2 separate regions of the Mus musculus genome follow, and region 2 is reported to be linked to region 1. Evidence: microRNA targets listed by miRTarBase, many of them from high-throughput screens and not tested one by one. Region 1 holds a microRNA gene; the other region holds the end of a gene's coding sequence.
What was found. The annotated mature microRNA mmu-miR-3068-5p reads UUGGAGUUCAUGCAAGUUCUAACC and lies in region 1 at 2,072-2,095, shown strand. An mRNA with a match to its seed (bases 2 to 7 or 8) in the 3' UTR can be bound and repressed. Matches are read on the target gene's strand: a 7mer-m8 pairs with bases 2 to 8, a 7mer-A1 pairs with bases 2 to 7 and ends in A, and an 8mer does both.

Region 1 (3,401 bases):
CTCTGGAAGAGCAGTCAGTGTTCTTAACGGCTGAGCCATCTCTCCAGCTCTGTACGATGGTTATGAGCTGCCATGTTAGTGTTTGGAACCAAAACTGTCTCTGGAAGTGCTCTTAACTGCTGGGCCATATCTCTGGCCTAAGTTGAGAACATTTTTTATTACATATGGGGTGGAGAAGGGTATGTGCACATGCGTACTTAAAGGAGAGAAGAGTATATCAGATCTCTGCAGCTGGAGTTACAGACAAATGAGCCACATTCTGAACTAGACTGCCTAGAGGCATTAAATTGGGAGTTACTTCGAAAGTGTGCACTGGATCAGACATATTCTTAATCTTTTGGAAATGTTAGAATAGTATTTTCTTATGTGGGAGTGTGTGGTTTTGCCTGCACTTGGTCTGTGCACAACATGTGTACAGTGCTGGTCAAAGCAAGAAGATGGTTTCAGATGCTCTAAAATTGGACTTATATGCATTTATATGTTCAAGAAAGGTAGATTTGATGCCGAGAAACAAAATAGACTAATAACTAGTGTTCCATTTACTGGATGAATGTATGATTAATTAAATCCAGTGTTGGAGGTAGACTTCTGTATGCAAAAGTGACTTGGGGGAGTCTTGTGACTTATTGGGACTGGATTAAAAAAAAGTCTAAGGGTGAACTTTCAGTTCTGTTTTTTTGTTTTGTTTTGTTTTTTTGGCTTTTTTGAGACAGGGTTTCTCTGTGTAGCCCTGGCTGTCCTGGAACTCACTCTGTAGACCAAGCTGGCCTCGAACTCAGAAATCCGCCTACCTCTGCCTCCCAAGTGCTGGGATTAAAGGCGTGCGCCACCATGCCCGGCGAACCTTCAGTTCTGAAGTTGCTTTAGGATAGCACTGTTGACAGCTAACCTTGTAGATTATGTATTCCTCTTGAGAATGTCCCCAAAAGTCAGATATTTACACTGTCTCATGTTCGTCAGAAGTTGGTTTTTCATTAACTTTAAGTAGAAAGGATATGGGAAGTAAACAAGAGAATAGTAGGCATAAGAATACGAAAAAAGAGCCGGGCATGGCAACGCACACCTTTAATCCCAGCACTCGGGAGGCAGAGGTAGGCAGATTTCTGAGTTCAAGGCCAGCCTGGTCTACAAAGTGAGTGCCAGGACAGCCAGGGCTATACAGAGAAACCCTATCTCGAAAAACCAAAAAAAAAAAAGAATATGAAAAAAGAAACCAGAACAATTTCAACACACATACACCCATCTTTTGTCTTTTACAGGATTTATTTTCATTCCAAACCCCTTCCTCCCGGGATGCCAGAGGCACTGGGTAAAACAGTGCCTTAAGTTGTACTCCCAGAAACCTAATGTGTGTAACCTGGACAAGCACATGACTAAAGAAGAGACCCAAGGACTGTGGGAACAGAGCAAAGAGGTCCTAAGGTAAGCAGCTGTGTTGAGGTTTTTGCCCCCCCCCCCCCCATTTCTACACAGCACTGTTCTTTTGTTTCCCCAAGAACATTGGGACAGAGGATTTAACGGTTATATTAAACTGAGATCCACTTTGAATATTTTTATTGTAGCTTAGACACTGAGTTCGTCCACATTCATCATCACATGTTCTAATTCTGATTCAGGCATTTTTATATAAAGTATGTTCCTTTAAAGACTCATAGGAAGAACTTGGGTTTTACATGGAGTTGCTCACACTAGTTCTTTTGTGATGGGTCGGTTGTTGCTCATGGAAGAACTAGTGCCTGGATGTTGATGTTTCAGCATTCATTCCACAAATACTCATTGGAGAAATCAATTGGGTACCTAGGCATTGGAGACACAAAACTTTAGGATATGGACACTCTTTAATAGTGATTAGGAACTTGGGAAACCCAGGAGGAAGTAATTCTTCCAAACAGGGTGAATGTATCCAAGAAAAATTACTATTTAATGCTGTTTTTTATAATTGTATCTATTTTCTCTCTCTCTCTCTCTCTCTCACACACACACACACACACACACACAGATGGGCATATCCGTAGACCTTGCTTGACTCTTGTCTGTGGCCAAGCAAGGGGGACAGAGTATGCGAGAGTAATTGGAGTTCATGCAAGTTCTAACCAGCTTACTCAGTAGCTGGGTGAATTGCAGTACTCCAACATTCTGCTTCCATCTGCTCAGTTCTCATGCTGCAGGGTGGTGTTATTTAACCTGCTTGTTTATTTCCATTCTAAAAAGGAAGGCAAGAAAACACTTCCTGACTTCTATGATTTTTGTAAAAACATGAAGAAATAAGAACATTTAAGTAGATTCCTTGGCAGAATCCAGTGTAGAGTTTATACATGATCATGAGAGTGGTCACTCATGTGGCAAGGTTGGATTAACTTACAGAAGATGCTTCCTGGCAGTCACAGGTACAGTAGACAAACAGGAAGTGGGCATTTTAGGTAGAGTAGGACCAAACTGTACAGGGTTTAACACTCTAGAACAGCGGCTCTGGAGTCAGATTGCCTGTCTTCAGGTCCTTGCTCCTTCCATAGTAGCTGGGTAATCTTCAGCAAGTTCTTTAACATTTCCTTCCTGAGTGTTGTGAATATAGGTGAGAAATCCTTAGAAGATGCTTGGTGGCCATAAACTGTTAGCCTGATTCTAGGGGGGAAATAAAAGATAGTCTTATGTGGAGAGGGAAAGTGGTTTCCTTTAAAGCTTCCTTAGTCCATAATTTGAGGTACATGTAGGAGCCGTGAGGGAAACCTTCCCTGTTCTTCAGCTTTTAGTGCTTCCCTTAGAACTGAAGGCAGTGTAAGGAAGGGGTGACTGAATGAAATTACAGAGTGGTGGCGCACGCCTTTAATCCCAGCAGAGGTAGGCAGATCTCTGAGTTCGAGGCCAGCCTGGTCTACAGAGTGAGTTCCAGGATAGCCAGGGCTACATAGAGAAACCCTGTCTGGGAAGAAAAAGAAAAATAAAAGAGAAAGAAATTATGGTGCTTAATAGCACTAAACCAGCCTGTGTTTTCAAATAACTTATTCTTTCCTTCTGATATATGATTATAGAAATCTCAGCTGCGTTCTGAGATAGCTCAGATGAACCTCTAATAAATCAATCAATAGCCAATGGGGAATACTTTTCTGTCTATTAGCAAAAATAAAAATGGTGGTGGTTATACCTTATGTTGTCAAAGCCAGAAGAAATTAATATTCTGAGTCCTGGTGCTGTGTGATGTATGTCTCAGTGTTCTCACTGGGATGATCCGTCCAGGTATGTGGGTCATGCTGTGCTCCAGTGCTGTGAGCGGTACATGAGGTTCTCTCCACTCCCAAAGTCTGTAGCGTAAAAAGTATCACTGTTCAGGAAGCTCCCCCGAGAGAATCTGGTTCCCCCAATATCTCCCCACACTGGGAACCAGGAACAAAGGGGCCTCTGAG
Region 2 (3,401 bases), not on the chromosome of region 1:
AGTGCTGGGATTAAAGGCGTGCGCCACCATGCTCGGTGGGTGGAGGCGTTTTCTTATCTGAGGTTCCTTCTTCCCAGTTACCTGGGGTTTTCAGTGGGCATCGCTTTGTTACCTGGGGTTTTCAGAGGGCACCACTTTGTGCTCAGACCAGGGATGATGGAAAGTTACAGAATGAATACCCACGACCACCCCACCCCCCACTCCCAAAGAGAAGCCACACGCTACAGTAAGCAGTGGCTAGGGTAGAGGTCCCAAGGAATGCCAAGAGCCCTAGGCAGCTTATGGAACCTACAGGGACTGGGAGAAAGTGCGCCTTGCAGGGATCTCACAGCAGGAGCCCCTCAGGGTAGCCGCCACTGTGTTGTTGCTGAGAGTGGAACCCAGAGCCTTGTGCATACTAGGCAAAAGTTTTGCTCACCCCAGACCCTTCGGGTAGGTTTTTTAACAGGTGTGACCGGCCAGAGCTCCGGGCCCTGGGCCGTTAGGGTCCCCCAGGCTGCTCTCTGAAAGGCTTTGGTTTCTAATGCAGGAATTCACCGTCCCCCAGCTCCGTGGCCAGCAGTGACTCAGGAAGTACAGACGAAATCCAGGAAGACCTGGAGCGGGAGGCGGATGTGGAGCCCATGGTCAGCTGATGACGGAGGCCCGACGCTCCTGGTGGTCTTGGTGATGGGGTCCAGCCTCCTCTCCCCACTGAGCCGTGTGGGCTCCACTCCTCGACACAGACTTCTGTCCTCCCTTCTCCGGAGGCCCAGCGGGACCGCTGCTTCCTTCCTTCCTCCACCACCGACCCATGGAATGGTGCTGTCGATTTTTCTATTGTCCCCACACACACCACAAACGCAGACTTTTGTGCGTCGATGCAGTGCAACTGTGCCTTCTCCCTTAAGCTGAGCCACTTTGAGCTCCAAAGAATTCTTCCTAGCAGGTGTTTTTTTAAATATAAAACTCTAAGGTGAGGGTGGGGCCTGGAGGCGTGGTAGCTTTTGGTTTTCTCCCTCCCACCTGCTCCTCTGATTGGACATGAGCTTTGCTCCCTCCCTCTGTCCCAAGATGACTTGCGGTGGTCTGCTTTCTCAAGGAAGTAGACTGTGTTACCTCCAGAGCTGGGCGAGGAGGAGTCGTCAATACTTTCTCACCCAGGGATAGAGTGGTGGACGGAAGTGGAGGGAGGGAAGACCAATTTTTTTCTTCTTCTTTTGGATCTAGTGGCGATGTATCGGGGAAAGGCACTGTGGGGGAAGGAAGAACCTCACTGTGTTTAAACTATGCAAAAAACAAAAACAAAAAACAAACAAACAAAAAAACCTAAAAGCAGCTTGCCTTATATCATTGGGGAAGGCAGGCCCTCTCTCAGACTTCTGGGAACTGGGAGAGAGGCCAAGGTTGGCATGAGTCCCTCATAGCCTCTGAGGTTCAGAGGTGGCTTTGGGGGTGGTCCCAGTCAGATTGCTGGTAAGGCCTGCCTGCATTCTGCAAGCCGGCCCACTGGACTGATGGTTTTCTTGGGGACCTCTGTGGGGTGGGGTGGGGTGGGTGGTGGTCTTTTATTTTCCTGATGACTTGATGTTCATTCCCGCCTCTCCAATCACCTGCCAGGTTCCATGGTTGTAATTTCTCTGTGAGAAAGTATGAACAGGCCAGGCCTGCTACCTACTCTGTCCTCCACAGTACCGTCTTGGTCCTCCGTTGTCCCTCTGGCTGGGGGGAAAAAGCCTTGTTGGGGGGGGGGGAGTGGCATGGCTGCTGGCAGGCTGGCAATGACTGGAGAGAAGCCTCAAGTGAGGACCGTCCTCATTCATACATGCTTTCCATACCCATCTGTCTGGACGCTGAGCCAGTGATTCCCCAAGGCTCCCCTGGGGCCTGAGGTAAGGGGCCATAAGATAGAGCATCCGTCTATCAGAGAGCAGCTGGCGACTTGCCTAGCAACAATCAGGTTTTGTTTTTATTTCTTTCCTTATTTTGGGGTCCACTCTAGTGGTTTTGATGGCCTATGTTGTTTTTATTGACCCAGTGGGTTCCTCTGGAGTTCAAAGGAACAAAATGTCCCCAGGGATCAGAACCCATGGCCCTCTGAGGCCTGGGTGGTAAAGGGCAGAGGACTCTGGAACCATAGTGGTACCCGAGCCTCCTCTTTATCCCTCTGTTTCTCTCTAGGTGGTTCCATTATCTGTTTTGCACTTAGAGCCAGTGTACATAGTAGGCTTATGTATGGATAGAGAGGAGAGAGGATGTGTTTGTTGGTGGCTTGTAACTTATCAGAACTTGGTGGCCTTTCTTACGTGTGTCTTCCATGATGTGGGGAGGGGTTTCCCATTGGTCCCTGTGCAGGTACTTGGAGGGACAATTGTTTGGGAAAAGACACAGCCCCTGTCCTCACTATTCTCTTCCCCTTTCTCACCAATCCTTCTTTTAAAGGTTACAGGGTTCATACACTTCTGGTTATTATTATTGTGTGTTATTGATATTATTGTTTTGGTTTTATTTTATTCTATGTTATTTTTTTAACCAAAGGTTATCAGAGCCAGATGGGCCTGGACCTTAGCTGCTGTAAAGATTTCCGTTTCTGTGAGGGCAGGAGGAGGGTTGCCCTCATGGGTCCTTGACTGAGGTTGGGGACCGTTTCCATCCAGCGGTAAAGCGGTAGAGTCTGGTAGTCAGGTGGGCAGAGCAGAAGCCAGCCCTTGATCGTTCTTCATGGAGGTGGTGGGCTGACATGTATCTCTAGCGTTAAGACAGGAAGCAACAGCGTAAACGTTTGAGGGGATGGCTGTGTACACAGCTACTGTGTAGTTGCTGGTCTCTGGTGTTATTTAACTTTCCCACCTGTATACATAGGTCATTTGTCTGGTGTGCATGAGAAAAGCAGACTCCTTTGGGTTCCCTCCTGCTGACTTTCAAAGTCTGCTTTCCCCTGGGAGGTGGAGCTCTGAGGCAGGAGGATGAGTGGAGAGGAGCAAGGGTGTGGTAGGCATGTTTCCTGGCTTGGTCTGGGCTCTGGGCCTGGCCTCCTCTTAGTGTTTGGTTTGTTCGTTTCGTAGTTCGTTGCCAGTGGGTCCTGCTTGTGCTCACTGTGAGCCCACAGCTTGCCCAGAAAGACCCCACCCCTCACTGGGGCCGCCTCTCACTGGGGCAGCGCCTGCCCTGTCTGGACGAACTTGTCCACCCGTGTAAACATGTACATATGTTCTCTTGACTTTTCTATGTCTGAGCCCCGTGTCATATTGACACGGGGGGGCTCAGGGCTTCTCAGATGGGCTCCCCGTGTTGCCCCTGGCCATGCTCCTAGTTTGGGGGTCACATACACAGGCACAGCAGGGAGACAGCATCCTTTCAGGTTCCTGGTTGGTCGTGAAACACACACACACACACACACACACACACACACACACACACAC

Region 2: miRTarBase lists Iffo2 as a target of mmu-miR-3068-5p. The part of its 3' UTR that is shown has no 7-base or 8-base seed match.

The regions. Positions count from the first base shown.
Region 1 is chr12:87,436,418-87,439,818 of GRCm38, reverse strand. It overlaps Mir3068 (microRNA 3068), which reads left to right and starts at 2,062; the gene lies at 2,062-2,140. Alkbh1 (alkB homolog 1, histone H2A dioxygenase) reads left to right here. Exons shown (of 6, transcript NM_001102565.1): 3 at 1,260-1,422.
Region 2 is chr4:139,615,799-139,619,199 of GRCm38, forward strand. Iffo2 (intermediate filament family orphan 2) reads left to right here. Exons shown (of 9, transcript NM_001205173.1): 9 at 530-3,401. The coding sequence ends at 635. Among named protein-coding and RNA genes, the nearest start is that of Aldh4a1, 5.4 kb to the right of the region's middle.